Drosophila melanogaster: one gene and its partners. The protein of the gene in region 2 interacts with the protein of the main gene of each other region in a pairwise test. Each region holds a gene or a part of one and is shown on either strand. Other genes may lie near its edges. The genes, in order: Baldspot, fd59A, CycB3 and CG15631.

The links.
Region 1: the proteins of fd59A (region 2) and Baldspot interact in a two-hybrid assay, tested with the Drosophila melanogaster proteins (one large-scale study listed by BioGRID).
Region 3: the proteins of fd59A (region 2) and CycB3 interact in a two-hybrid assay, tested with the Drosophila melanogaster proteins (one large-scale study listed by BioGRID).
Region 4: the proteins of fd59A (region 2) and CG15631 interact in a two-hybrid assay, tested with the Drosophila melanogaster proteins (one large-scale study listed by BioGRID).

Annotation. Positions count from the first base shown.
Region 1 is NT_037436.4:16,657,337-16,664,994, reverse strand, and holds the start of Baldspot (baldspot), read left to right. Parts: upstream 1-3,379; 5' UTR 3,380-3,524; exon of another isoform or gene 3,525-3,584; intron 3,585-5,528; 5' UTR 5,529-5,583; coding exon 5,584-5,765; intron 5,766-7,658. Other genes in the region: Galphaf (G protein alpha subunit f), read left to right, coding at 86-254, 1,256-1,353, 1,447-2,146. UniProt on the Drosophila melanogaster protein: Catalyzes the first and rate-limiting reaction of the four reactions that constitute the long-chain fatty acids elongation cycle. This process allows the addition of 2 carbons to the chain of long- and very long-chain fatty acids (VLCFAs) per cycle.
Region 2 is NT_033778.4:22,865,475-22,873,233, forward strand, and holds fd59A (forkhead domain 59A), read left to right. Parts: upstream 1-2,684; 5' UTR 2,685-3,027; coding exon 3,028-3,380; intron 3,381-3,700; coding exon 3,701-4,718; 3' UTR 4,719-5,232; downstream 5,233-7,759. Other genes in the region: CG13532 (uncharacterized protein), read left to right, coding at 6,322-6,385, 6,468-6,661, 6,756-6,918. UniProt on the Drosophila melanogaster protein: Involved in development during embryogenesis.
Region 3 is NT_033777.3:24,864,386-24,872,788, reverse strand, and holds CycB3 (cyclin B3), read left to right. Parts: upstream 1-1,972; 5' UTR 1,973-2,260; coding exon 2,261-3,988; 3' UTR 3,989-4,855; downstream 4,856-8,403. Other genes in the region: CG3744 (uncharacterized protein), read left to right, coding at 1-135, 378-570, 636-837; Elal (Elastin-like), read right to left, coding at 6,263-6,777, 6,945-7,419; Srg1 (Sting-regulated gene 1), read left to right, coding at 8,083-8,403. UniProt on the Drosophila melanogaster protein: Cyclins are positive regulatory subunits of the cyclin-dependent kinases (CDKs), and thereby play an essential role in the control of the cell cycle, notably via their destruction during cell division.
Region 4 is NT_033779.5:4,730,570-4,737,715, reverse strand, and holds CG15631 (uncharacterized protein), read left to right. Parts: upstream 1-3,257; 5' UTR 3,258-3,289; coding exon 3,290-3,410; intron 3,411-3,461; coding exon 3,462-5,209; 3' UTR 5,210-5,303; downstream 5,304-7,146. Other genes in the region: fipi (factor of interpulse interval), read left to right, coding at 3-113, 216-353, 505-657, 1,376-1,867, 1,949-2,169.

The DNA of each region.
Region 1 (7,658 bases), on a different chromosome or scaffold from region 2:
GTATTTTTTTTTTAAATATTTTTTTCTGGAATATATCTTTTTCAAAGCACATACTCAAGGTCTTAATTTTCTTTTTTCTTTACAGTGAACGGCGAGAGAAGATACCCGAGATATATCAGAACATCCACGAGTCCATCCTGCAATTGGTGGGTCAGATGGGAGTGCTGGGCATTGATTTCGGCAGCTGTACCAGCGAAAGATCGGCGGACTATATCCTCTCTCTGCCCGGATCGGCACCCGAATATATGAACGAGGTGAGTTTCGGAGTGGCACCTGGAGTGGTGCCCCCACTATCTGTATCTTATCCCTCGCTGCACTTCAAAGTCTGTTGTCGTGGTGTCGCAGTTTGAAATACATGCTCGTTGTGGCTGTCGAAAATCCGAGCAAACGACTTTGAAGTCAATCGCCGGACTTGCGTCAAATCTCCAACGGCTTTCGATCGAATTCGTGTTATCAGTAGCGGCGATTTGATTGATAGCGTGTCCATTGGGCGGCGTGGAATGTCTAAAAACTTTCCAAAACAAGTGTTTTGTAAATCGGACTTCCTGGCCCGGGCCTTATTGTATTATTTTGCTCTTTCCTTTTTTTTATTTCAAGTTTGCCGCAGCTGCAACGCTGCCTCTGAATGTGATTCATGTGGCGCAATCTGCTTTATCTTTCCGAAATTTATCTATGTACCTCTAACCAGTGGTCATTATATGGCTTACGATTAGATTACCAAGGCTGTTCAGGTCTCCAAGTGGGCGGGGCCTTTCCCAGATCTAGATGCCAGTCATTCATGGTTTTATGTTTTGCCAGTGAGTAATGCCAAGCATAAACAAAAGAAGTACCGAAGTTCGGATTCCCCTTGCTTTATGACTGACTGTTTGAATAGGTGACTCGAATACGTTCAGAGTTTTAAGTTAACTGAGGAAATAAATAATCATATCAGACCAAAATAGAGTATGTTTTTTGGAGGTTCTTATATTTTATTTTTAAGTTTAAAGTTGACTTTGTGCTGTTACTTTGATGTTGATGTTGATCATTCGTATGACAGTTGCAAAGTGACACAATCTTGGCGTTTATGATCCTTATCATATATTCAGCAAATAGAATTTTTTTAGACGGTTAGCTAGACAATTTTACTACCGGATTAGCTTTTCGTACTTGTCTGTCCAAGCGGCTTTTGCAATCTTCCGGTGAAGAGTTGATGTTATTTTCCATCACTGACTTGAAAACAATACTTAATTTTGGGTTACTTTTTTTGTATTTTTAGGAGTACTGCGACCACGTCACTACTTTGTGGAACGATGTGGGTATTCGCGCCTGCTATGATCGCTCAAATGAGTTTCCCCTGCTGGATAGTGCGAAATAGTAAGTATCTAATTGGATTGATTCAAAATCAGATTTCTTTCCCATTTATTCAAAAAAAAACCTTACTAAAGTTTGAATTTTTTTTTACCCCAGCTTCCTGGACAACTTTGTGCGGATCAGCGATGCTGAATACATACCCAGCACCGAGGACATTCTGCACAGCCGTAAGATCACCACCGGCATCTCGCAAATCACCTTCCGCGTACCCATTCCCAAGAGCATGGGTGGTGGCGAACAGCAGTTCCAAATGTACGATGTGGGTGGCCAAAGGGATCAGCGGAATAAGTGGATTCAGGTATTCGAAGGCATACAGGCCGTATTGTTCCTGATCTCGTGCAGCGAGTTCGATCAGAATCTGCGCGAGGATCCCAGCCAGAATCGTTTGCAGGAGGCTCTGAAGTTGTTCAGAGCCGTGTGGCAGAATCGTTTCCTCGCCTCCGCCGGATTGATCGTGTTCCTCAACAAGTACGACATCATGGAGCGAAAGATTCGGGCCGGCAAGCACATTGTGGACTACTTTCCCGAATACGAGGACTTCTGCAAGAGGCCGCAGCAGGACAATTGCTTTGGCGAGAGTGACTGGACGAAGATGTTCATCAAACAGAAGCTGGTGGATATCACACAGGAGCCGTTCAAGCGACACTCACGGAATCAGGTGGATCTGGGTACCTCGGAAAGGGAGTGCTACTACCACTTCACCGTCGCCACGGATACGCGATGCATCCGTGATGTCTTCTGCGATGTCCAGAAGATGATCCTCTCGGAGAACGTGTCCAGCATGGGCCTATTCTAGTCCAGATCCCGTTGCGGATCGGAGAGCTTCTCAATAAAGTTAAGGGAGGGCTGTCCTCAGGCCCCCACCAACTGTGATCTAGTAGGATATGACTTACATAAGTAGCCATGTAAGACCGTAGATCGTAGTGGCAACCGTATGTTGCACAATGGCTGGTACAACGCTTTAATATATTTAACTGCATTGGGTGTAGAGGAAGAATCCTCATACCGAATGCTCTCACTACTCCTTCAACCAATGTCTAAACTCTAATAGAATATAGCATCTACAATAAACCAAAACACACCCAGACAATTTGAGAATGAGTTTTAAATATTTTTGCACCCAAAGTTTGGGTATTTGGGTCCCATGCAACACAAAGTGTAGCATACTTCAAAGGGCACACACGCTTTGAGCGATCTGATGTTGCCATAGGAAAGGAAAAGAAACCATAGTTGTTTTACTTTTGATCAAAATAGTTTCCCATTCGGAATACACCATTCTACTCTTTATACAAGAATATATAAGCTTCGTATTAAAACATTTTAAAATATAAAAAACATATTGAAAGGCAAAAAGTCATAGTGATCTTTTACAAAATATGCGCTTCTTATTCAAATTAAAAAAAAAGCTTATTCCACTTAAATGCCGTTTATCGATCAGAGCGTTATATTTTGTACGGTCGGTCTTAAATTTAAATGATGGAATCCACATAGTTCTTTACCATCGCTTAACTAATAGCCAAGTTACACACCAATGAGCTGTGGTCCTTACCTAATACCCATTACTCGTAAAGTGATATGGTATTTAAGTTTTGTGTCTACGTATGCAACACGAACAAAGAATCGTTACTTTCAACCAAATCAAAAAGTTAAATAAAGATCGATCATCGTTTTAACTTTTACCAGCTTACGTTCTCCCCAAACATTTTAACGATTCATGTCGGTATAACCATAAAACAAAAATATTCCTGTATAACTCGCGATACTGTTTAATAATTTGGGCATACAAATGCATCTTGCTACGCTTAACCAAAGACACTAGTGGCTTAACTGTTCCTTGCAACATAAGTAAGTTTGACTAGTACCCAATAGGAGTGGAACCAGTGTGCATAGAGCTCCACCCGCACGCAGCTAGATGTGACCGCACGCGAGCCGCAGAAAAATACCGCGATGGCAAAAGTACCAGCGCCATGATTGGTACTAAAATATCTCCTATATATAAGTATAGCGATAAAGCAGCCGAACCGCCAGCTAAACGTTCAGTTCGCTTTGCGCCGGCAAATTCGATAGTTTTTTGAGTTTGCTGAACCGAGTCGCTGGGGCAGAAGTGTGTGACAGCCAGCCGTGTGTGTTGTGATCCAGCCAATTGATACTGCGATAAGAGGCGGCGAGCAAATGTAATTACCTCATAGACATCAGCGTTCGAAAATAGTAACCGTGTTTTCTGTGATATCTGTGTGAGTGCGTGTTCTCGTTGATGTTTTGCGGTGGTTTGGTTTCCTCCTTATTTTGCGCCCCTTTTTTCTCATCCGATGCTGCGAGAGAGAACGAAAGAGAGGAGAGGCAAAAACATATTTCCCAGACATTTGCTGATTTAACCGAGAACTTTATCGATTCAGCAGGAACCAGAATACGAATGGAAAAAATTCGGCAAAGATCGCGTGTTTTTGCGTGAGAGCAAAGTTAGGGCGAGGAGGGGCAGTTTGTTTTTCGGAAACATAAAAACCGCTAGGAGCATCGAAAAAATTTCACTAGAAATTTTTGAAAGCGCTCGCGCAAAAAACCGGATATGTTACTCAAAAAGAAACAACAGAAAAAGCTTCCAAATCAAACCAAAGCGAAGCTTATGGCAAAACGAAATCACCTGTGTGTGCGAGAGTGAGTGAGAGTGCGTAAAAGTGTGAGCGCGTCGAGTGTGTGTATGATTAGTCGCGTGTCTGGCATGCAATTAGGCATTCAAACTAATTTCCCTCCCACCGGCAAGTTGCCCTGTCTCATTTGTATTTTGCTGGGTTTCGCTGTTTGCTTATGCATTCCTTCAAGTTCTTTTAATTCGCACGAGACTTTCGTGGGCAGAGAAAAAGAGGAAGAGAGAGCGCGCCAGACTGGCGCTCTCTGTAAACTACCACAATTACACTTTCCGTTACAGCCACCCCCTCACTCATGTGCTCCCAGAACACTGTGAGAAAAGTGATGTAATAACGGGGTAGCTTACAGGACTCAGAGTGTCCCTGGATTCAGCTATTAGTATTGTGATTTCAAGATATAAAAGTAGAATGTTAAAAAAAACCAAACTCGGAGACTCCAAATGTATTTAATTTGTAGTTTTAGTGTAGTTTTTCGGCTAGAGATTTTGGGGATCTTAAAATTCTCACATTTAAATTAAATATTTAAAATAAAACTCATGCACATTTAACTAAACTTAATTATTAATGTCAAGATTTTACCTCCGATTGACGAGCAATGTTTCTCTTTGTGTATCAAGTTGTTTGTGTATCCATTTAAGCTTCAGCACGAGGTGTGAAAAGTGTGAAAAGCGGAAGAATGTAGATGAAGATAACCACAAAGCGTGCGCCATTCATGAAAGCGTTGCACATCCCTTGCAGAGTGAGCAAGAGCGGGAAGGTGTTTGAAGGGGTGTGAGAGGGAAGAAAGATTGAGTAAGAGAGAGCCATGGACCAACGGTGTTTTTTTTGTTGCCTGGCAAAATCAATGAAATGGATGAATGAGAGGAGGAGTGGTGTGGGACGAAGGGGAAAGGAAGGTCGCCGAGAAATTTATGCGACAAAACGCGGGCTTTTTATGTGCCTGATTGTGTGTGTGTGTGTGTGAGAGAGCGCGTGTGAGTTTTGATAAGGGGGAGTGGTGCGGAATTTTTACTGAATTAAGCTTTAAACATCGTCGTGTAAAATCCCCATTACTTAGGAAACAGATAAGATACTGCAATCAGTAAAAAAAACTAAAAACATTCGACTCGAAGATAAATTGTAGTTTTAATAATTAAAGAATGTTCCCATAAGTTAAAAAATTATATTCAAAGTGTTTTCCTTTTTGTGTGCCTATTTTAAAAGTACGTAATGTATAAAAAAACAAAGTCATACAGAGCAAAATGAGAAAATTTAAACCGTCCTAGTTCATTGGGTACTTTCAGTATATTATTTTATTTATTCAAATAAAACAGCTGTATAGCTCGATGTATATTTAAATTAGTTTTTAATCAGCAGAAGCTAAAACCTATTGTTAATATTAAATTAATATTAATTTAATAAAATCGTTCTGGTGTACGAATAGCTATTTCTAATACGAATAGCTATATTCCTTAACAAAGTTGTACAAGATCTTTGACAAGATAGTTCTGAGTACATTAACTAATCTATCTCTACTTTCTTGTCAATCCACAGCTGCATATAACCCAAGTAACATAGCCACCAACTCAAACACATAAAGCCCACCAAAATGATCAACATGGACATTAGCGTTACGCCCAATTACTCGTACATCTTCGACTTCGAGAACGATTTCATACACCAGCGGACGCGCAAATGGATGCTAGAGAACTGGACATGGGTGTTCTACTACTGCGGCATCTACATGCTGGTCATCTTCGGTGGTCAGCACTTTATGCAAAATCGGCCTAGGTGAGTCTGCCACACTGAACTGAACTATGTGAACTAAAGCAGTTTTGCGATTAAAAAACATGTGTTCTTTGGTGGCTTAGATAGACAATTCAGTGAAATAACGGTTGGGTTAAGAACTTGCGCCCTTTGGCCTTGGAAAATTATTAGCTGGCGGCCGGGGAGCGGCGTTAATTACACCCACAAGTGCACACGCCCCTTGCAGTCGGTAGAAACAACTTTGCTGTTTATCGAAACCAATCCCTGGAAACCCCTATATTGACTCAGTCGCGCTTTGTTTCGGTTTATTCTCCGGAAAGACTGGAGTCCAAGTGTACATTTGTTATTAGCCCAGACAGCTGTTGAGTTCCACGTGTAATTATATTAAATTACGGCTAATCAAACACTAATGTTGTAGGTGAATCCTCAACTCGGGCTCAAATAGCCAACAATTCGCATTCGCACCTGAGCACGCACTATTCAGGTGTATTTTCCGATGGCTAAAGACCTATTTGATTGGGTATTTTAACAATTTTTCCAACAGTCAGCGCTGTTTGTCCCCTCCTTGTTACCTGATTTACCTGTGGTGGATCCAATTGGCGGCTATTCGTGCTGGCAATTGTCTCGTTTCGATTCGCTTCGTTTTTGCCTATGATACTGTGTTTGCCTTCCTGCTTCTAATTGTCGTCATCGGGCTTTGTGGCCAAATTAAGTTGGGCTCGTGACATGCCATTTAGACAGTATTTTTGCAAGATCATAATTCAGTTTTGTCACCTGGTTTGGAGCTGTTTATAGCCTTGCTAAGGCCACTGTGAAATTCGGTAGAAAGTTGCTACCGTCTAACAGAAAAGTTTATTATTGTCCAACTGGGGAAAACGGGCTATATAAGTTCCTTCTGAGTATCTTTCGAAACATACGTCTTTGTATTCTAAAAAATGTTAGCTAGATAAGTCTATTTGATGTGGCTTTCCTAACCCTGAATTCCACATCATGATTCAATTGCTTGCATAATGTAATGTGGAGTAGCGATTCCTGCCCACACTCCGACCCAAAGCCATTGGGTTTTTGGATGAGTTATATAGGGGCTTGGCCCTGGGTTGCTTGGCGATTCTCTACGCGGACACTCGTCGGGGGATCTGTCGGTTAATTTTTCACTTTATTGTTGTTGGCTTTGCCTTACACTTGGCTTTTTCGGAATGTCATTTCAATATTTGCCCACATGGAGGAGAGTCGGCTAAGCAAATGGACGTATGTACTTGGTACAGAAAGGTGTGAATTTAGTGAAAATGCAGGCGTTTCTTTCGAACTGTTGGGGTTAAAAAACTGACAAGGTAAGGATGAATTGGGCAAATTAAAACGGATTGATTTCCGCTTGCTCAGCATGGCTACTTAACTTCTTGAATACTCAAACACATGCATGAATATTCAATATTTGACGTTTTCCAAACCATGCCATGTTTAAGAATCTCTAATTAGCAACCACGGTTCTGAACAGCGTGTCAAAATTAATCGCAAACTTTGAAAGAATGCAAATGCACCTGACCGCATGCCACCGACTGTACATTTACATATTTAGAGAGTGGACTTCCCGCTTGCATTCCACCTCATCTTTCATGAATTTAATTTTTGAATTTCTGTTTTGTTTCACTCGTTTCGGACAGTGCGCCATTAAAGTCATTAAACTGATTAGGTTTATAGGTACACGCCATGTCGTACTCGTTTCATTTCAAATGCCCAACGGACAAAGTTTTCCACGGCGACCATGTGGCACGTATGTATGTACATATGTGCTTGTGTGTCATGCAAGAAGTGGGTGTGTCCACGCAGACGGGGTTGTGGGTAGTAGTCCTGGACGGAACTCCAACAGGACACTTTGACATGTAGCCGCTCTATAGGTCCACTTCAATTGGACACTGG
Region 2 (7,759 bases):
CTGTTGCTGCAGCGCGGGATGAGGACGCAGGATATTCATGTAGATATATATAGCCCGGAGATGGAGCTGGCGGTGAGGCTGAGCAGGATGTGCTCCTGGTGGCTGGTTCCTGTCAGCGTGCATTCCTCGGCGTTATTGTTTGGCCATAAGTTAATTGTTCCCCTGCGAAAGCTTTAATGCACCGCATCCTTACGCTCAACTGGCCGCCCGAGTCCTTCGTCCTTCATCCGGACTCCTGCCGTGCTAAGGCGGCGATTAACCGTAGTCTGACAGGGAACATGGATACGGCTGTGACCACGGATTGGCCCAGGATAGTGGCTGTTGGAATCGTTTAATTGCCATGGAAACTATTGAGCAGGCGGATAAGTAATGAAAAGTGGATTGAAAGGGCAAATATTTTCGATATACTAGATGCAACTCGCGGGGGATAAAGTGGGCTAATGTTTTTGAGGATGACTGGTAGCTATAGATAGATTATCCTCTATGCATGGTGAGCTATATTGTTGTTAACCATTCTACCGATACAGTTACACATATATTAATGCTGACTCTAGTCGGAATTAATTACCAATTGTTGTCATTACAGTGTACACATGCAATTAATACTCAATAGTTTGAAACACATATTCCTTTTCGATTTCCAGCATTTTCCAGTAATTGGGTACGTTTTTGCTTGATTTACCTGTTTATAAAGTTCCGAAATAGTTTAAGCGTTAGCTTCGAAAAACTTGATTACATTCTGTGTCCAACCAATTTCATTTGGCTGCCATGAAATGTTCTGTTTGCTCATAAAAAGACAAGGATAAGCCTCAATAAATTTTCCGCCTCGAAATTGGGGAGCAGGCAGAGCAGAAACGACCCCATGTAAGTATTGTATATACACCCTTCTATTTATGCCCCCTGATAATACCAACACTACTAAGCGGGATAAAGATACATACCGATGGCCGATGCCACGCCCCTAAAAATCTGGCCAAAAAATCATTGATTTGTAAGTGTAACAATGGGTAAAAGGTGGGCGGGCGTGGGGGAATTGGCAAATGGGAATTTTGGGGGTGGCAAAGCTAAAATAGAATAATGAAAACGATGCCAAGAGTGAAAGAAGCGACATCAATATGGTTCTGAATTCGAAGATGGCGGCCCTTATTGTATTCGTGTCTGTTTCCATGCATCTGTGTGTGTGAGTGAGTGTTTGGTTGTGTGTGGGTAACTTCCGCAAAACTGGAAAACTAATTTGAACAAAGTACAACAAATAAAAGTGACTACTGAATGTTTAATTTGAAAAGGGAAGGCTCCAAACACTGAATGGCGAACAACAACAATGGCTACAACAACAATGTCTAACAACTGGAGAACAAAAACAGCGAAAATGAAAAAGAGAAATAGTACAAAACTCACTTGGATACAAGTACAAATGCAGCAAACACATGTACGTCCAACCCCCTCCCGTCCCACCCACTCTACTGCTCTCTCTCTCTCACTCTAGTAGCCCCCATTGTGCTCGGAGGATGTTGGTGAAAATGGTGCATTTGATTCCATCTCACTTCCACACCCAAATAAAATATACAGAAAAAAAACCAATATTATCTATATTAGATGTATTGTATATTGTATGTATTGTTTTAAAATTATATTTTATTTCGGTTTTTTCGCATTGCTAAAATGACATAACTGTTCTATGCATTTTTTTTTTTTTTAAATGTATTTAATAATAATACATTGTATTATATACATATTTCAGTTAATCGTTCTTAGAATAACCAACAAAATATATCCTATGAAAATAAATACAATTCTACTTATCTAACTGCAAAGAAAAGTCCCTATAACTTCGTTACTTAACTTAAGTAAGATTTGTGGAATTTGGACTTTACATAATTAAACACATAATTAGATTCTTTTCTTTTTTTTCTTTCTGTGCATAGGGACAGAGGGCTGGGAATGAGATTGCGAGCCCGAGAGAAACCAAGAAACGTCGACATACGGTTAGAAAAACATTCGCACATAAAAATGCCAACATTTGAAGCATAACATTTGGGGCAGAGGAGCAGAGTGGTGGTTGGCAGGGCGAGTGCGAGGACGAGGGAGGGCCGCAGGGGAAAAGGACGCCTGCCTCCATGTGGCTGACATAATGAAACATTATTAAGAGCCACGACGTCAAAGCGGCAAAAGGTATCTAAATTTGCGCAAAATGTTTATCCCCCCCACCGCCGCGTTCGTTGGCTTCTGCAGTCGCTGCCAATTTGCCGCCGCTTGGAGAGAGGAAAACACAAATATCGCATTTACAGCCAGGGCTCTCCACCATTTTGTGAGGACTTGCAGCGAGTGGGAGAGGGATGGCACGAGCTAGTTCGCATAGATTGGTTCGCAGGATATCAACCCATCCCCCGCTAGAAAGAGAGGCTTGGCCGGGCTCTCTTGCTCTCTCTCCCTCTGCTGCGATGCTGTCGGGGCGCAGCCAGGATGCTGCCAGGATGCCGTCAGGATGCTCTGCCCGCGCCAACGGCGACGTCGGCAGTAGAATCACAGTTATTCGAGATACGAAAACACAGCAACGGCGACACAAAAGCTCAGGGAAACGTCAGCGGCAGCGGCAATGGCAGCGGTTTTTCATAAATAAATGTTTGAGTTATGTAGAAAAACATTTTGGGCGAGAAGATTTTCGTTTTCGTTGCGATTCAGTTAACATTTGGCCAGCGGATTCCGCCTTCAACGGACGCGACGACGGACTAGGCGCTAGCCAACTTTCCACTTTCCACACCACTGCTGGCCATATGTACAGTTTATCCTAGCAGCTAAACCGGAAACGACGGTAACAGCGAACGGTTAACGGAAGCGGAAATAGAAAAGAAAATATCAAATTCCAAGTTGAATCGAAAAGCATATGCAAATGCCAAGTGAAGCAAGTGAAACGCCAAAACGAACACAGTTCCTGAGCAAAATAGTTAAATAACAGTGTTGCGTCCTCTAAATTTAGTGAGTCCAATTCGCGGACTCAAATAGACTACAGTGTATACCCGCTAAGACATGCACACCAGCACGGATCCCATGCACACATTGCACGACAGCGTCTCCCTCTCGCCGCCGCTCATCAAAAGCTCCAGAGGCGGCTCCTCCATCGGCAACGGAATCGGATGCAGTGCGTCCTCGCGCACTGCCGCCGCAGATGCCATGTCCATGGGCTGCGACGACAGCGACATCGAGCCGTCGTCCATGGGCGGAAGTGGTGCCGCCGGCGGCAACGGAGACGGCTCGGGATCTTCGGGTGGTCCCCTGGTAAAGCCACCATACTCCTACATAGCTCTAATCACCATGGCCATTCTTCAGTCACCGCACAAGAAGCTCACGCTCAGCGGGATCTGCGATTTCATCATGTCGCGGTGAGTTTGCCAGCAAAGTTAATATCCTTAAATGAAGAAGCAATAGTTTGATTTTTTCCAAGTTATCTTAAAACATCAGAAAAAGAGAATAAAAGTAGTAGTTTGTAAAGACGATAAAAATAAATAAATCCTATAAAATTTCAATTGAAAACATAGAAAAGAAGAGACATTCAGTGCTTTAATCGATTTCAAAAATTATAAATTTTAAAATGTGATATTTTATTTACTGATTGCAATGTAAGTGATCTAGATAAACAACCAAATTCTTTAAAAAAAATTCCTCGAAAAAATGTTAAATAACTTGTGCATTTTACTTGTAGCTTTCCATACTACAAGGACAAATTCCCCGCCTGGCAGAACTCCATCCGGCACAATCTCAGCCTGAACGACTGCTTCATAAAGGTGCCCCGCGAGCCGGGAAATCCCGGAAAGGGCAACTTCTGGACGCTGGACCCGCTGGCGGAGGACATGTTCGACAACGGCAGTTTCCTGCGCCGGCGGAAGCGCTACAAACGGGCGCCCACCATGCAACGCTTCTCGTTTCCGGCGGTCTTTGGCACGCTGTCTCCATTTTGGATACGCAAGCCCGTGCCCCTCGTGCCAGTGCATTTCAACGTGCCCAACTTCAATGGGAGCAGGGAGTTCGACGTGGTCCACAATCCGGCGGATGTCTTTGACTCAGCGCTGCGAGCGGACAAGAAGTTTAACTTCTTTGCGAATGCCGAAGCATCCTTCTACCAGGGAAGTCAGTCGGGGGACAAGTTCGACCGGCTGCCCTTCATGAATCGCGGTCGAGGAGCGGATGTCCTGGATGCACTACCGCACAGCAGTGGCTCCGGCGGAGGAGTGGGCGGGGGATCCGAGAGCAGCCGTGGCTCCAAGTACAAAAGCCCATACGCCTTCGATGTGGCGACTGTGGCCAGTGCTGCGGGCATTCCCGGCCACAGGGATTACGCAGAACGACTGTCCGCCGGCGGTGGTTACATGGATCTCAATGTGTACAATGACGATGCGGACACAGAGGCCGATGCGGAAGCCGAGGGAGATGACGACTCATGCGAGGACAAGATCGACGTGGAGAGCGGCAATGAGCAGGAGGACTCACATATCTCGGACTCGGTGGACAGCGCCTGTACAAATCGCCTGGATGCGCCGCCGGAAGCGTTGATCTTTGAGGCTTCTGCCGAGGCGTCCGATTCAAGTCCAAGGAGACGCTTCGATAGCGAGCCCCTGGTTCTGCGGACCAGCAAACAGAGCAGCGCCAAGGACTTTCGCATCGAGACGCTGATTGGCCACCACCTGCATCGCGGTGGCAGCCAGGAGGAGACCAGCGACTAGGCGGGATTCCCACTCGCTTGAACCAATTGGCTTGTGTACAGTCCATTGAACGGTGATTTCAGTTTCGATCTAAGCACGTTTTAACAGCCCACTAACACCACCACCAGCAATCCCCAGGAATCCAATCCGAGCAGCAAGTAGTGATCAGTAGGTGTATCCGTAGGATGTAGGAGCCAGCACACGAGTTTTTAAATGCGACCAAATCGAAGTCAACGCTATAGTTGCCAGTCCACTTACGTACTAAACATATATCTGCGCGTAATATCTATGTAAATCTGAAGCATCGCACGTCTATAGTATACTTTTAACACGAATTCTTGGGGTCTGGAGTCGGGATTTCAGGTTCTAGACCTATATCTACCATGCAAGTACTAATCATGTGTATGTGTGTGCGTGTGCGTCTGCGTGTAACTGTAACACATCCAAGCAAGAGGAACACTATTAACTATAAATTAGACTAAGATTTTTGCTGATGTTATTGAAAATTGAATAAACAACAACATAATAATAGTTTACACGGATACATGTTTGACTGGTAGGTACCGATATACGTGTTGTTACTACAGCTACTACAGCATGTTACTAATATGTTTGTAGTATACTAAATATTAATTTTTAATCCTATTGATACCTGTAATATTGTATTATTTTTATAATTATATTATTATATGTGGCCACTCTCTTCCTTGTAATAATATCCTTAAAGGGATCCCTCTTTTCGACGTTTTGTTACCTTTTGTTTGCAATAAAACACCCCGAGTTATTTGAATTTACCGCCCAGCAAACCTGTCCAGGTGTGGCACCCCTGCCTGGAAATCAGTTCAGCTTTAGCGCCTGCGCAGTGACCATCGCTCAGCTGATTTGGCGCAGGACGTAGTTGTGCCGCCATAGAACGCCGTGGAGTTCGGCGCTACCAAACGAAAGCTCCGCTCTCCCACGAGCGTCCCGTTGGCTTCCAGTGTTAAAACATGAAAAGCTGCGCCTGGCAGCGGGACAACAGTGTGCCGCCGAAGATACCAACACCAACTATTGGTATCCGCCAGCAGAACTCACGCGCTACGCCGAGAGTACGAACTCCACTTTTGGCACAGTTCGCCCCCGCGGACTCCATTCCGCACGCACACACTATCGCAGCCGTAGATGTTCGTGTATGTGGGCTGCAAAAAGTCGATTTTTCGCTAACAAAAAGTATCCTGTCCTGTGTGGGCAAAACTTTAAATGGCCCGGGCCATAAAAGGAGATTGCCATAGTTGCGACTTGCAGTGGGAGATGTCCTGCGAGGAGCTGCTGCGTCCGAGGTGCTGAGCTCGTTGGGCCGAGAAAAGTTTGTGCCAGTCAGTGCCCGTATCCCCAGAAAAAAGCATCCCCCTGCCATTCTGCTTCTGTGATGAGATTGGTGATAATGAGTGCAACCAAAGGCCCCCATGTATCCACATAAAAGCGCAAGCCGAAAACAGACAGCACCGCGATAAGTAGAAACGTCCAACCACCACAGAAGTATTCATTGCCACGCACAACGACGGCGCGTCCTCGCGGAACGGGAGGATCACGAGCGACAGGATCTGGAGTGCCCAGCGACGCTGAGGCAAACTAGTCGGCTGTCATGGCGGGCTGGCGAGGACGAGGCCTACGCGCCACGCTGCTGGCCGTGCTCGCGTTACTCTCGGGTGAGCAGTTCTCGCATACATCCTTTTTGGGTTCCTCCAAACTAATCCTGTACTCCTCCTACTCCGCCCCCATGCCGCATAGTCACTCACTCGGTGCGCATCACCAACCTGCGGGTGCCACGCACCTACACGCTGTTCCGAGACCACGAACCCGATCCTCTGGTGCTCGACTGCGAGGTGGAGATCGGGCCGCGGGAGCAAGGATTCGTCCTCAAATGGCTGTTCAATAACCACTCCATCTACCAGTGGATACCATCGGTCAAGGGGTTCGCCATGGTGAGTCACTCGGGGTCTTTGGTCGCACCGAATTAATTAAGATTAATCGAACTCTGTCTTTGTCTTCGATTTGTTCTTGTTCTTGCGCCTGTAGGGCTTCATGAAGTCGAAGATAGACACCAAAATATTCACTATGGAGGGCAGTCCCGGTGTTATATCGATAAAGAATCCCGACTGGAACATGACGGGGGAGTACACCTGTGCAGTGCAGACCTTCGAGTCCACGGATAAGCGGAGTGCCCGCCTGCAAATAATCGGTGGGTGTCACGACCACGGCCAAAAGAAAAAGGATCGGCGGTGAAAGATGTGCGGTGGCGATGGGAATGGGAATGGGTAGCAGGTGGTGGTGGGGGTCGAAAGGTCTAAGGTGGTGGTTCTGCCTCTGGTTCTGCCGGGTAACCTGCACCCGCCCCCATCTTGACTTGGCCCCCGCCACCAGGGTGTTTGCATAGGTGTTCTCGTGTCGGTGTTTACACAGGGAGACAAAAATTATGATTTATGTACTTAAAAGCCATTAACAAAAGCCGAGAAAGCCTTACTCTAATGCGCTGGCCTTTATTCTGTCCCACTATTAGCATTCATTCTCTCGCATATCATCTTGTGCCTGGGCAATTCTAATTTAAATTTTCAACGTACCTTTTTAAGGAACTTATATTCTATTATATTTCATGATATTACTTTCTATTTTGTTTTAAAGCAACTTTGTTAGCTATATATATATATATCCATAACTACGGTTTGAATATTTTAATCTTAGTTAGTATCTGAAGTTGTTTTCAGTGCTGTAGGACAACTGTAATTGGCTTAGTCAGGGCGTTCCCAATCGAGTTCCCCTTTTAAATGCTAGGGTCAGTACTTTTTTTTGCTAGTGCAGGTGCTGGGCGCCGTCTGTGTGGCACGTGTGATTCGCTTTCATATTTGCATGCGTGTCATGTGGCAGTCTCTGCGGTGTCCGGAACCACGGCTTGTTTGTGCTGTTTTGTGCTTTTCTTTGGGACACTGTTTTGCTTGGTATTGTTTTGTTTCGTTGTTTAGTTTGACACTTGATTAATTCTCACGACTTTTTGTCTTTCGGCTCCTGTCCGCCGGCTCCACCAC
Region 3 (8,403 bases), on a different chromosome or scaffold from region 2:
AGCGATTCGAAAGTCACATCCGTGGTCGGATGGGTCAGGTGGAGCTGACGGATCAGGTGGATGCGCTGCGGAGCTTGTCTGACCAGTTGGGCTACATTGACATGGATCGCGTGGCCATTCACGGGTGGTCATACGGTAAGTTATCTCGAGATAGGTGATTGACATTGTTATAGTGGGGTATTTCCCACAACTCTGCATACTATTTAATCTAATCAACAAGCAAGTCATTCTGAACTTGCAAGTACACAGACAGAATGAAGATGCCTTATCGGTTTATGAACGTTAAATTAATGCACTATAATGGTTACTTTCAATTGAGGGAACTGGGTAAAGGTAAAGGCATTGCAATAATTTCCATATGGTTGTCATTTCAACAGGGGGCTATCTTAGCCTGATGGGCCTGGTTCAGTATCCGAAAATCTTTAAAGTGGCCATTGCCGGAGCGCCGGTCACCAACTGGGAGTATTACGATACGGGCTACACGGAACGATACATGGATATGCCGCAAAATAACGAGGCCGGTTACTCAGCCGGTTCGGTGCTCGAATACGTAAACTCTTTTCCCGAAGAGTGAGTTCTTAAGCTGGTTCTTAAATTGTCAAATTTTCGAAACATTCATGTTTTCTTTTGTTCAGGGACAAACGCCTGCTGCTCATACACGGCCTGATCGACGAGAACGTGCACTTCTGCCACACCTCGCGTCTGATCAGTGCTTTGAACAAGGCAAACAAGCCGTACGAGGTGCATCTGTTCCCCGAGGAGCGGCATTCGTTGCGTAATCTGGAATCGAATAAAAACTACGAAACTAAATTACTGTCATTCTTGCAAAACTTATGAGATTCGTAAATGTCAACAGCCGAAACAAGATCGCCTGCTTAGGCAGTAAAACTAGACCCGCCCCACGCCCTCGTCCCTTTGCAATAGTTTTTTACATCATTGTCTTTGTTTTTATTTGAATTTTTGTTGTTCGAACTATTGTTTTTATTCGATAAAGAAAATGAGAGAAAACGAAATTTGTATCATATTTTTAGCATACTTAATTTATAAACGTACGCAGTTGTAAGTATAATGGAAAGTTGAATGAATGAAAGTTTACCTGCCACCCAATATTAGACTTCAGATCAAGACCAAGCAGCTTATTGTAATTAATTTATACTTAATGTTCTACAACACACGTCATATACTCTTAACTATGTTTTAATTGTGTTTGATATCCGCAAATGTACATTTTTCCTATCAGTAATTATAAGTTGTGTTTTAGTGCGTATGTACGAGTATGAGTGACTGTATGCGTGTTTTCCACAGAAACGGAAAAAAAAAACCTTAAACTTGTCATGCCTTTGGGGCAGGCCATCAATTAATGTTAGTTCTACGCATGCATATATATATATATATATATATATATTATATATCTCTTCGATAAACCTGACGCAAGTCGTATGCATACTTGATTGAGTTCTTAGAAACCCGCGTTTGGCTGAAGCAACAAAAACTGAATTAAATTTAATATTAATTATGCCTATATATAATCATTAGTTTTACAACTGATACAAGCAAACGTATATATACATATATTTTGTTTAACATTTAAATAAACAGTTGTGTGTAAAAGCAGGTGTTTTACTTTTCTCTCTTGTTTGGATTGATGGGGATTTTTGGGCACTGTTCAATTAATTAAATAAATATATTTAAACAAATTCCTTTCTGTCAGCTGCTCGAGGCTACTTTGATGAGTTTCTTAGTTCCATAAATTTGCAATTGCATATTTAAGCAAACTGCCCAAATAGTTCAATTCACATGTTTTGAACTTCAGACATTTAAATTAGCCGCGCTCTGGAAGACTACCCCCAATGCCTACCTTCACCACAGAGGTGTATTCCAGTCGATTTCCGTTAGGCGACCGAACGCCGCGGTACGGTCACACTGCAGGCCGCATCTGCATCTGGCATCTGGCGGTGTTTTTTTGATTTTTTACTCAGTGCTCTCTATCCCTCCGGCCAAGCGCCATAACTCCACAAAACTCGATCCGGAATTATATTGTGAGTTTGTGTGAATGTCTAGGCTTGATCGAGTCGACAATATCGGCAGTAGCGAACGACTCAAGTTCTAGCCAACACAAAGACCACATTCTGCAAGGAATCCGCTAGCGAGGATCTTGCTGAAACCAAGTGGAAGTGGAGGAGACGAGGACTCCAGGCGCCGCGCACAAGAACACAAACAACAAACGACGAGTGCGCTCACACGCAAACACGCATTCAAAATGGCGCCCACAAAAGCAACAACGCGCGCGGCCATCACAAGCGGGCATCATCAGCTGCAGCAGGCAGTGAATCCCATCCTGGGAGCCCTGGGAGCTGCCACTAGGAAGGGACTGACTCGGAGGGCGGCTGCCACGGGAAACATCGATCCGAATGTGGAGAATATGCAGACGCGCGCCAAACGCAAGGCCGACCACAGTCCAATTAAAAATGACAAAATCAAGCGCTCGGCGCTGGGTAACCTGACCAACAATGTTAAGATCATGACACTGCATCCGGCACAGGATGAGGAGCAGTCGGGCGTGGGCAAAAAGCCAACGGCCCAGCAGCTGCAGGCCCTGATGGATGCTAAGAAACAGGAGAATCTCAGCGTAAATGTCTTTGGCGCCAGTAAGATGACTACGCGCGCCTCCAGTAAAGTGGAGGATTCGGTGGAGAACTGCCACAAAGTGCTCGATAAGCTGGAAGAGGCGTTGGCCAGGCCCAAACCGCGCCCCAAGGCAGTGCCTGCCGCAAAAAAGACCGTTTTGGGGGAGGTTCAGCTACCGGCCATGCCAAATCCTATGCAGATTCCCGTTTTACTGCCGCCCACGCACAATCTGGCTGCTCCCCAGGTTGCCGCCGTCAAGCCAGTTCGTCGGATCTCCAATGACTTCAACAAGACTGAGGACAGCCTGTACATGTCCGCGCTGGAGGATGTCTCCAGTTGCGACTCCATGCGGCTGTCTGGAAACTTTGAGGCGGCGCGACGTCGCTCCGCCAAGTTGCAGCAAAAGACTGAGCAGCAGCCACAGCCGCTGTTGCTGACACTCCCAGAGACTGCTCCAAGCCAGGTGGTGCCCATTCCGCCAGTGCCCGAGGAAGTAGAGGACTTCGACCGCAAGAACTGGGACGATCCCTTCCAGGTGTCCCACTACGCCATGGATATATTCAACTACCTCAAAGTGCGCGAAGCGGAATTCCCCATTGCCGACTATATGCCCAGGCAGATCCATCTGACCACCTGGATGCGCACCCTGTTGGTCGACTGGATGGTGGAGGTGCAGGAAACGTTCGAGCTGAACCACGAGACTCTGTACCTAGCGGTTAAGATCGTCGATCTGTATCTCTGCCGCGAGGTGATCAACAAAGAGAAGCTGCAACTTCTGGGCGCCGCTGCCTTCTTTATTGCCTGCAAGTACGATGAGCGACAGCCGCCGCTTATAGAGGATTTTTTGTATATCTGCGATGGTGCTTATAATCACGACGAGCTGGTGCGAATGGAGCGGGAGACGCTGCGCGTTATCAAGTACGATCTGGGCATCCCGCTCTCGTACCGTTTCCTGCGCCGCTATGCCCGATGCGCCAAGGTGCCTATGCCCACGCTGACCCTGGCTCGATACATCCTGGAATTGTCGCTCATGGATTACGCCAATATTTCGTTCAGTGACTCGCAGATGGCTTCGGCCGCACTGTTCATGGCACTGCGTATGCACGGCGGTCCGGGGCAGCTGGACAAGCAGACGTGGACATCGACGCTTATCTACTACACCGGCTATCAATTGGCGGACTTTGCTGAAATTGTGACCGCGCTCAATGCAGGACTGCATCGCAAGCCACGGGCCACCATCAAGACGATACGGAACAAGTACTCGCACAAAATATTCCACGAGGTGGCCAAGGTGCCGCTGCTGACGAACCAGGAGCTCTTCCAGGGCAACCTTGACCTGAACGAAAGCAATCTGTCGTAGGACAGCCTCAAAGTTTAGCCAAATTCAACATGATACGATACGCTTCACTTAGGCTCTAAGACGCTTCTATTCCCAATATTAGCCCCATCCCGACGAAACAGCGGATCCCCGCCTTAATCTAAAAACCCCTGATTTTACCCCTTACCTAGTGTTCCCGTCAAGTCCTCGCAATTTATTATATTTTAATTATTATTGTGACCTTCGCATTATTGACATGTTTTTTGCATAAATATTATGTTAAGAGTGCTTTTGTTTCTTTTTGCCATGTATTATTGTTTAATTTTCCCACATACCGCATACGTAGCCGAACACAATCAATCTAAACTCGAAAGGCGACATTATCTTTAGCACCCCCACCCAAAAAATCCCAAAACGATTCATGTTTTAATATGTACGTTAGTCTTAAGAGATGCCAGCATTAAATAAACCTAACTCGTAAGCCACCAAAGCAGACACGGATCCCCACTAACTTATTCTACACAGATACACAAACGCAAGGATACGAAGCGACTATGAAAGGCACGTGTGTCCCGTACAACCTGGAAATGCGCTGCGATCAACCCTCGTCCCGTGCACGCCATGTACGCCATGTGCATCTGTTCCTGTCGTCGTTATTAATGCTGTTATTTGTTAAGTCGTTCATGGACTCCCCTCCTTGCGCTCACATTCCCGCCCCTCGAAGGACGCTCACCATCAACTTCCCAGTTCCTGATCATACCGCCCCGCCCCGCCCTGCCTCAGTTCACCTCGTTTATCCATGGATGGTTGATAACGTTGCATTGTTGAAGTAACTAGTTATGTATGTACTCAGTGTTATGTATGTATCGTTTTGCGAGAGAATACCAATAAACATTTTTACGTCCGTTCAAAAATACTTCAATCTTTTTACCATCATTACATTCGGAAAACGGTGGGCGAAGTGAAAAAATTCTTACTTTTAATAGGGTAAGTGCAATAAATTCGTATTTTTATTTTTCTTTCTAGAAAACTCTTTTAAAAACCTGATGGAAGTTTCAAAATCGGGTGAGTATTAACTCAGATATAACTAGTTGAATGCAATTGTAGTATCATTAGTGTTTATGTTTACTTTAAATAAGTATTTTAAATTAGCTGTCTTTATCCAGCATGTTGGAAATGATCCTAGTTCCTAGGGGATTAAATAATTTAGGGCATTATTTTCAATTTCCTAGAATCTGGAATGTATGTATTTGTTGCAGTTCAATCTTTAATTGTTAGAAACAGAGCATAAACTCCTAGATGTCAAAGGTTAAGGGAAAACGTTTAGCACATCTAGACTTCTTTGCCGTGAGTATACCCATTACCCCACCCATTCTAATTCCTTTGTTTCGAATCCTCTCAGCTGAATCTGTGCTCCTTTCTCCGCGCTCATCATAGAACAGCTGATGGCTGATGACCTAAGGACATCAAACCCTGGCTGGAATCGGTTCGATTTGCTACAGGTAAAAACCACCGATACCGTCCGTCCAAATCATTCATAATCCATGAGTGTAAGTGTCTGTCTGTATACTCGTAGTCTGTATACCCCGGGCATGATTCTCTCGAGTTTCCTGCGGTTCCTTGCTTTTGGCGCGCTCGTCCGTCATTTTAGCGCCAAAAATTTGTTAAGGATTTGCGCGGCAGGCTGCGCATGCGCCGCAAGACATCAAGACGTCGTCCCTTGGTTGGGTTCCTTTCCTTTCCTTCGGCCCTCTCTTTTCCGCTGCACAGCGAAACCCAGCCGATTTATGTCGCTGCAGTTGGGTCCAGCGAAGGGCACCAGGAGTACCAATACCAGTAACAGCGTCTCTCTCTGACGCTGATTTTCTACCACCACCTTTGGCTCGCCCAGAGTCCTGCCTTTGTGCGTTCCCTTTTTTTCGGCTGCCTGCCAGCCAGGTAGCTCCTGTCGTCTTCGATTGTGTCCACGCCGGATAAAAGAAGCGGCATTGCCATAAGAATAAGGAAAAGAATAAGGATGGGATGTGAATGTCTTGGGTTAGCTGTCTGTATGGGAGCAGAATGCCGAGTGCATGTGCTTTATTTTTTCCGGTTCAAGGTGCAACTGGTAACTGGCCAGCATTGCTAATTATCTTGGTTGGGTGTGCAGAAATCAAGTTTATTTCGCAGGGACACACAGGATGATAGGCAAAGACAGCTGCCTCTGGCCAAGGAGGCAGCAGCGAAGTTATGACTACGACTCGGATTACTTCACGCCCCACCAACACCATTACCACTACCACCACCACCGAGGTCCACCCATGATGTCGGCCAGCTTCAGTAGGCCGGCGAGTTGAAGGCACCGTTGTATCCGCCCCCATATCCACTGCCATAGCCAAAGGCATTGTGATTGTTCAGCACTCCAAATGGTCCCTTGTGGACGCCATCCTCCTTGTACTCGGTGTTCATCGAGAAATGATGGTCCCAATGGCTCGGATCAGCGGGATTGTGAGCCGGATAGCGATGATAGTTCATGCCGCTGGTGGCAGGAGCCTGACCAGCTGCTCCGGGCACTCCTGCCACTCCAGGTGCTCCCGGAACTCCAGCTACTCCAGGAACTCCTGGTTGAGCCACAGCTCCGGGTAGCACTCCATAGGCGGGGAACTGGGCTGGTTGAGGGTACGCTGGGTACTGTGGCAAGTATACTCCGGGGTAGGGATAGCCAGGATAGGCACCAGTTCCCGGGAAGTAACCAGGTGCTCCTGCACCCACTGGCTGCTGGGGAGGAACTCCCACCGGATACTGAGCAGGAACTGCTCCAGCAACAGGATAGCCAGGAGGAGAAACAGCACCTAAAAAGGGGACATTTCATTAATATCATAATTTCATATATATTTCAAAATGTGGATTTGCTATTCACCAATCTTTTAAATTTTGTATAACTTTTTTGGGAGTTAAGACTTGATATTAGTTTTCTGATTTCACTAAGATAAATGAACCACCTATTAGAAGGACCTACCTGCACTTTGGTAACCACCGGATGATGAGGATCCTCCTGAAGAGCCTCCTGCAGCTGGGTACGGAACTGGAGCCTGTTGTCCAGGAAAACCCGGAGGCGGATAAGCGGGAATCTGGTGACCTCCTGTAATTGTGAGTGCCGGATTTGGTGACTGGTTGCCAGGAAAAACAACGGAGTTCGTACTGGCCACTCGTACGCCAGAGCCACCCTGCTCATGGCCATGGGCATCGTCGATGGATCCAGTTGCGCCCGCATAACCCGATCCCAGCTGACCAAGGCCAGGATAAAGTTGCGAATTGAGATTGGCCCGCTGGCGATGGCGACTGCTGGTAATGCCTCCCGTCAGAGTGGAGGCCAGGTTAAACTCCGTCTTCTGATCCTCCTGACTTTCGTCCCTGCTGAATTGCGAGGCCTGACCGCTGGCTATCTGGATGAGGGCCAGAGCGGCGAATGCGATGACCCTCCTGCTTAACATGGCGTCTTTGGGTACACTAAAGCCCAGAAGCTCACGGCGCGTGTATTTCATGGTGAGATCTGATGACACGAGAGCTTAGCTGAGTGTCTATTTTTGGGGTTATCATCAGGGGCTCAATGCCCAGATATGTAGTTTAAGTCTCATTGAGTGTTCTTTCTAGTAAATTGAATGAGAGAGTCTACACTGAAAGCAAAAGTTGAAAATATAACACAACAATGTGCATATGCATAGATACTAGCCATAAATTTGAACAAATAAATGAATTTTTTAAAGAAATACCCATATACAAATTTATAAATATAAATGTTATATATAAATTTCTTGCAATGTATAAATTTGCGGCCTAAAGCCAAGTAATAGATAAGTTGAGACGCATTTTTGGTTTAGGGATTTCCCAAGCAATTCATAACTCATCTTTGCATAGATGATGATCATGAGTTATGATCCTCCCTTTATATAGAGAACGAAAGCTTTCCCAGTCAACCTTGTTTACCAGTCAATAGATTAGTATTATAAGTACATATGTACATATAGCATTTGTTCCATTACCCAAGGTTCTTCCACTCGATTCCATTCATCTTTCTTATCGCCATGTGCTGCTGCTGGCTATAAAAGCCGCATGGACATTGGGACTATCAGCAAAATTGCTCTACATATCCCAAGATGCAGTTGTTGGCTGCGATTCTAGTGCTAATCCTGGCCAGCTTGGCCCACGGTAGACCCACTTTCGATAAGATTGCGGAGCTTCTGTTCGGCGACCCAAATCATTATCCGCCAGCAAGGCCAGTTGATCCACAGCTACATCCTGGACCAGGTCCACTCATCCAGGAGGGCTACGAGCAGGGCTACGACTATCACTATGGTGGAGGCTACGGCTACGGTGGTAGCCACCAGCAGACGCATCCAGGTGGCTATGCCTATTACCCACCACGACCGGTTCCGGCAGCAAATGACTACTATCCACCACCTTGGTCAGTGCGTCCT
Region 4 (7,146 bases), on a different chromosome or scaffold from region 2:
AGAACAATTGAAAATCGTTTTCGCCCACATCGCACTGGCCGACAAGGGCAATTGGAGCTGCGAAGCTGCTGATGGAAGTCTGCATAGTAAATCCTTCGATTTGATTGTGTACCGTAAGTGGTGGAGTCGCTGGCGGGCATGAGGTCAGTCATTAATATTGCATTGTTTTCCCTCCTCGCACACACACACACACACACACACACACGCACGCACAGAGAAAATTACATTCACGGAAAATGCCACCGTGATGACGGTCAAGGAGGGCGAGAAGGCCACCATCCTGTGCGAGGTGAAGGGCGAGCCCCAGCCGAATGTCACCTGGCACTTCAATGGACAGCCCATCAGTGCCGGCGGTAAGAATACCATCCCCCCACCTCCCTCGATAATGAGCATTTTGCATTCCAATCTGCTCCACCACCATCACCATCAGCCAACTGGCAAATGCCGAACCCGACTGCCACTACATATCTGCCCTTTTCCACCTTCTCCATTCCGCGTGTGCAGCGGCCGACGACTCCAAGTTCCGCATCCTGGCCGATGGTTTGCTCATCAACAAGGTAACACAGAATGACACCGGCGAGTACGCGTGCCGGGCATACCAAGTCAACTCGATTGCTTCCGATATGCAGGAGCGCACCGTTTTGATGAAAATCGAACGTGAGTATGATTTACGATTTCCAAAACGTAGAAAACTGATCCACAGTGGGAACCTACTTTGAAATTTGGGTTGCCAAGTCGTGATTATTTAAAAAAAAGCCCTTCCATTTTACTAGTGTGTACAATTTCCTTGAATAATACATTGTAAATTATATCAAACTTAAAGTTGAGCATAACATTTTTGATCCTACCAAGTCCCAGTGTGCAAAGTGGTGGGGTAAACAGTCGAAATTACTTGAGCACCGTTTTGTTCCAAATTTCGAGTTGGCGCTTAGTATGCAGCGCAGTGAGCGGTAAATAGTTTTTGAGCACGAAAAATTCTGGAATTACACTCGCGGCATGCCTTTGATGCTTTTGATGGATCCCAATGTCGACCGGTGTTCCTGATGTGTGGCCAGTGGGCGTACGAGTGCCAGTGCGAGTGGGCGTGGCGCACATGCAGCTAATGGCTTAACTTGGCCGGGTCCTGATTTATGGTTAGCGCACATGGTTTTTCCATTTCCATGGCCTACCTTTAAGCGCTGCCGCGGTTTCAGCTGTCTCCTGCGGCGCTATGCATGCTCATTTCGATTTTAGGCACTTTTAATTGCCTTAAAATGGGAGATAGAACAGAAATCTTCATCAATTTTTTTTTGCTTAAATATTTCGAAACAGTCCCTATTCCTTTTTAAATACTTTAGTTTTTTTTATATCATCCTTGATATTTTCCCCTGTGCAGACAAGCCCATTTGGTCCAAGACTCCATTTGTTAGTCTAAAGTACGCCTACATAAACGGAACTGCGACTCTTATGTGCGAGGCACTGGCGGAACCTCCAGCGAATTTTACATGGTATCGCAAACACAACAAGCTGCACAGCAACAACAGACTGTACACGATCCAGTCGGACAGCTACTGGTCGAGTCTGACCATCCATGTGCTGAACACCAGCGCCTTCGATAACTACAGGTGTCGCGCCAGGAACGATCTGGGCACCATCGAGAGGACCACGCGACTGGAGCAGGGCGAGAAGCCTCCGTCACCGGCCAACTTCCAGCTGCGTGGCTTCAATTCAAACACCTTCGATGTGGTACTGAGTGCTCCACGAGGTCCTCCCGACAGTCCCATGGGGGTCAATGGATTCCGCATCGAGTACATGACCGAAATGGAGTTCAAGACGGATGCGGGCAAGTGGACCAATGCCAGGCGGAAGGATTATGCTTTCGAGGAGGGTGAGTTAAGCTTTAAAATATAGATAAAAGCTATCTCTTGCTACATTCGATATGTAAACTCATGGATTCTATAAATTTTAGGGGCTACCTTCCTTCTGACGAACTTAGAGCCAGATACCGTTTACCTGGTGCGGGCCGCATCACGGAATCTGGCCGGATTCAGTGACTTCACCAAGGTGGAGAAGTACAAGACACTTTCGCTGGAGCCCCGAGTCTCTTCGGGAGTCAAGGAGACCAGAAATATGTGCGTGGAACTGGGTGTGATGACACTAATGGTCCTGATGCGGCCGTTCCTGGGATGAATCTGAATCTGCAGGCGGATGAAGGATGACAGGTGATGCACCTAGCGGAACCGGAAACCAGGACCTTAAACCCCATGTGCTTTGTATAGCTATAAGGCGTGTCCACACGGCGACACTTTTCTGTCTGATTTGCTCGGTCTAAGTAATTTGGTTTACTCTTAAGTTCAGTGCGTTAATGTAACCTTAAAGAATGTTAAGTTTAGTAAGAATTTCTATTACGCTTTCAGTGCTTCGATTTGAATGATATTAGTGGATCACTTATAGGATATTTATATGTATTTAAACAAATCCTCATAGCAGTTAGACATAATCAATGGTTTGCTGGCCTTGGCTCCCCAAAATTATGCAAAACTAAAGCTTTGCTCAACATTCCAGTATATATTTTAACGTGAATTGGAAGTTTTCCCTGCAACTTTGCATCTCGTTGCCAAATCTTTAAGATATAATCAGACAGTTGCCAAAACTAAAAAAGTACATTAGTTTAGTATATACAAACAAATGCCTTCCGTCATTCGATATAACTAACAATCTTTTCAACTAAACTACATAAATATATAAAGTTTTGGAATACCATTAAACGCATCAAACAATTAATATAAATATCAAGGAGCTTAACGACAGCATTTAAAAGTTTTATATGTCACATAATTCTTTTTAATAGTCAAAGGCCAATAAAAACAATTCCACGTGTAAATTTCCAGGGCTAAAAAATACAGAATAAAATATAGATGTAAAAATAAGTTTAAACACTTTGCCACAATACAAATATTATGCAAACGAGAGAAAAACAAACACATATTTTACAAAAGTTATTTATATTCAATAAAATTAAATGTATTTCAGCTAAAGTGGTGTAAAATCTAAACCATAATACCTAGCCAAAGATTTAATATTTTCCAACTTTCGTTTGCCAATTGTGTGTGAGCCATAATAAAAGTTATGAATATCAAACCAGAACCGTTTGTGCTTCGATTTATTGATGTATAAATCAGTAAGTAAATAGAATATAAATATTTTAGTAAAAAAAATGCCTATTAGTTGGCGTAGCTTTTAGTGTTAATTTCTAATATTCGGCTCAAAAATTATATACAAAAAGTACAAAGCATAAAAATGTTGCAAGATGGAAAAACGAGCTCATTATTTTAGTCAGAACTCGAACCAGCCGCTAAATGCAGACTTTAATTTAGAAGATCAAATTATGAGGAATTCACAAAAAATATATAGGTTTAGCTCAGATCCGGGTGAGTAAAGCTTGCTAATAATGAATACATAAAATTAAAATTTTTATTTAGAATACAATAGAGTATATCAGCGGTATATGGCAACCCTCATCCGTGTGCAAAATTCCATGCATAGAAGATTTCAATCCAGGACCACTCTAAAATTGCAGGGCTCACATAGCCGCCTCTCAGCTGGCGGATTCTGTACGAAATTCAATAAATCCGGAAAGGAGAAAAAAAATAAACACAACCAAAGCCACGACCAGCAAAATGATACCTGTAAGCCTTCTTGCTCGAAGCCAACTGATTGCGCCACAAATGATGAACCTTCCTGCCGGGGCAATAAAAGTGCATCCGATAAAAGCCTGAAAATCACCCGCTGTTCCATACCGGAACCCAATAAGTCCCCACGCAGCGATGGACACGAGAACCAGCGTCAGAGCTGTGTGTCCTTTGAAGAGCCCGCGGCCAAGGATATTCCCACATTTGATCTGCACTTCCGGGACACCTCATGTACGGTGTCCCATGATTCCAGCCTGTCCTCCATCAACGTTTGCTATAGCCAAGAGCAACAGAGGGATATTACAAAATCTTGTCCCGCTCAAACGCCGAAAGAGCCAGCCCCTCAACGGATGAAGGAGTCGTCCAGGAATCAAACAGCTTCACGATTTTGCATGAGACCGTTGATTGTGGTGCCCACAGGTGGAGGAATTAAACAATTAAAGAAGGATCAATCTGAGAATTCCAAAATAGTTAGCACAGATCACTCCAAGTCGAAGTCTGCACACCACACGAATAGTTCTCGAAAATCCACAAAGAAGCAAGCAAAGAGTCACCGCCTTATTAAGTCTCACAGCTCTAAAGATTCTTTAGCAAATCGTGGTCAGCCTACAGTGGAAATTGAAGAAACTTTTCCAAATTCAATCTGCACTTCCGATACCCACGAATCCTGTGACTGCAAGAGCGAAGACCAATTTTGCTGTTACTATATACCAGAGGAGCCCCATTGCTCGCAGAATCCACCGCCATGTTCCAACTGCCCGGCTATATGCGACTTATCCAACCAATTGGAGGAGATGAATCGACGTTTGGAGGGCCTTCACAGCCAGGAACTCTGCGATATCCGCACGCAGGTGAATAGCCTCAATGCCAATGTTCAGCATTTGGCCAAAGAGTGCATTCAGAAAATGGATGGCGCCAAAAGGCTGGACAAGAAGACCTCGAGCACCTGTCAGTTCTGTCATGGGCAGTGTTTGAAAATACTTGATAGCTTCTATAGGCAACTGCTGGACTCACTTTGGGATCGTTCCCTGACAGACATAGTAATATCCATATTTCTGCGAGCAGACAATGTCTATCACGTAAATGTGCGGGATCTGAGCTCGGACTGTTCCCTTGGTTGTTACCTGGTCACTGATGCGGCCATAGAGGAGGCCATCGAGTTGGGAGTTTTTCAGAACATACTCACATTTAGTGTAATTGATGTGCGGAATACCATCAAGTCGAAGAACTGCGACTTGGGCATCGTCTTTGAATACCATCATTCAAAGCGGCAGACCGGTGGTTGCGATTCTCCACTTCGTGGCTCCTGCATGGTGGGCAAGGAATATATCGGCAGGGTTCTCGGACTTCCTTTGGAGCAGCTGAAATACCTGTACTCCGTTCCGCGATCCTATACCAAAATCACTGAGCACGACACTAGGAGTGTAACTGGAAGTCAGTTACACTCAGTTTCCACTCAAACGACTTTGATGGATATGCAGACAGAAATGAAGATAAGATATAAGAAAAGTGCCCGTACAAAACTACCATCAGTTTGAAAGATATCAGTTTTAATAATATATAGCAAAAGTTATAGTTAAGCCAACTTACAACGTATTTCTAAAATTTTGTAATAAAAGACCTTATAATTTTAAAAGCCAGCATAGATCAAAGGAAATTCTGATTAGTTTCAATAAAGCTAACCGTACAGGTTGCACTGCCATTTGCACAACCGACGGACCGCATGGCAAATGGTTCATTTGTTCAACGGGCGCGGTTTGTCAATCAGCCACATCAACTGGGGCTCAACTAAGGACCCGCATATGCGCTTTTGGCCGGAATGCCTTTTTGGGGGGGCTTTTTGGGGCAAGGAATAGGAGCACTGCGTTGACAGCCGCATAAATCAGTTGAATGCCAAACGTCGGATTCGGATGCAGATGCGGATGCTGTTGCGTATGCGGATATGCATTGCGACTGGGCGCCATATTGTGCGTGGTGACTTTTATTGCCCGACCGCGCGTTAAATATTTTTCTGTCTACACACATGGACATGGATGCTCCGCTCATCATTGACATTTACCATTGGCCATCGTCATTCGCATCACAATGAGCAGCAATGAGCGTGGCCGTTATTTGGGTGCGGTTCAAAACAATCAGCCCGGCTATTTAATTTCCAAATGAGAGGAGCATTATTCGGCACAGCATGAGTTCAAATCACTTGCCCCATGTGCCCGCCAGCTTTCAATATCAACACTTTAAGTCAACGATTTGAGCGACGACAGCTGAATCAGCAGCGAAGAGAAGAGGACAAATAAATACTGCGAAAAAAAATGCAGAATTCGGCCATTTTAGGCCTGCAACCGCCAATCCGCCAATTCACCAATCCACCGGCAAGTGGGTCAGTTTCGCACGGGCTTTTAGAGCAAATCAACGCGAAATCCGCTCCAGGTCATATGCCACCCGACTCGATGGGGGGGGGGCGAGACCATTCGTGCAATGCAATTTCCATGTCAGCGAAGAGTTTTACCCCTTTTTTTTTCGCCCACATATCTGTTTCCTTTCATTCGGCTTATCGAAAGTTTAGCATTCGGCATTTTTCACTGCAGGCATGAGAGTCAGGCTTTCAATTAAAATCCAAAGCTGTATTTTTACGGGAGCAGATTTAAAATGTTGTGGCTATTGGCCAAACGTTATTTGTCTGTTTATTCACATCACATGTCTTAAGCTGACAATATAAATCCCTTTTCTTACCAAGTAATCAGCATTAACTAAGGAACACACAGCCGTTGGCGATACGAAGTCTTAACAACATTTACCTAGCCATAAATACACACTTAACACGTTTTGTAGACGAGCTGACTTGCATCATTAGGAATTCCATCAGTGCTTCATTATTATCCCCCTTTCCTTTGCCACCAACACAATGTTCCACATTTTCTCCACTTGGTTTTCCTGCGATTTTCCGCTCGTTTGAAGCTGCTTGGCCACGGGGCGGATGCGGATGTCGGTGCGGATATGGGTGCGGATGTGAATGCTTTTGCAACGACCGCACGCCGTGTCAATAAATGAGCGCAAAGCATTAAATTGTAATTTTTTAATTACACACAAAAGATTTAATGACTGCGGTGGTAATAACACACAACAGACGTTGCCACGCCCCCCGGCTGCCCTTGTTACAGCCCTTAATTACATAAAGCCCAGCTAAGAAGACGACTATCCACAGACGGAGATAATAGGAAAATGGCGAAAATTAAATTGTTCTTCTGTGCTCGCCAAGTGGCCAATTAAAGCGAACGGCAAAGAGCAAAATGTCCGGATTTCTTTGCCTCGCCAAGCTGAAGCAACTGGACCTCCAGGGGGTTATGTCCTTTTTCGCACAGATCCTTTTTGCTCCGAGATTTGCGCCCGAGTAGCTGTCTCAGCCTCCACCCCCGCGCCGTTTGCTTAGCAATAAAAATCATTTCCCGCGTTCTAATGATGCCACTGAACAACCAAG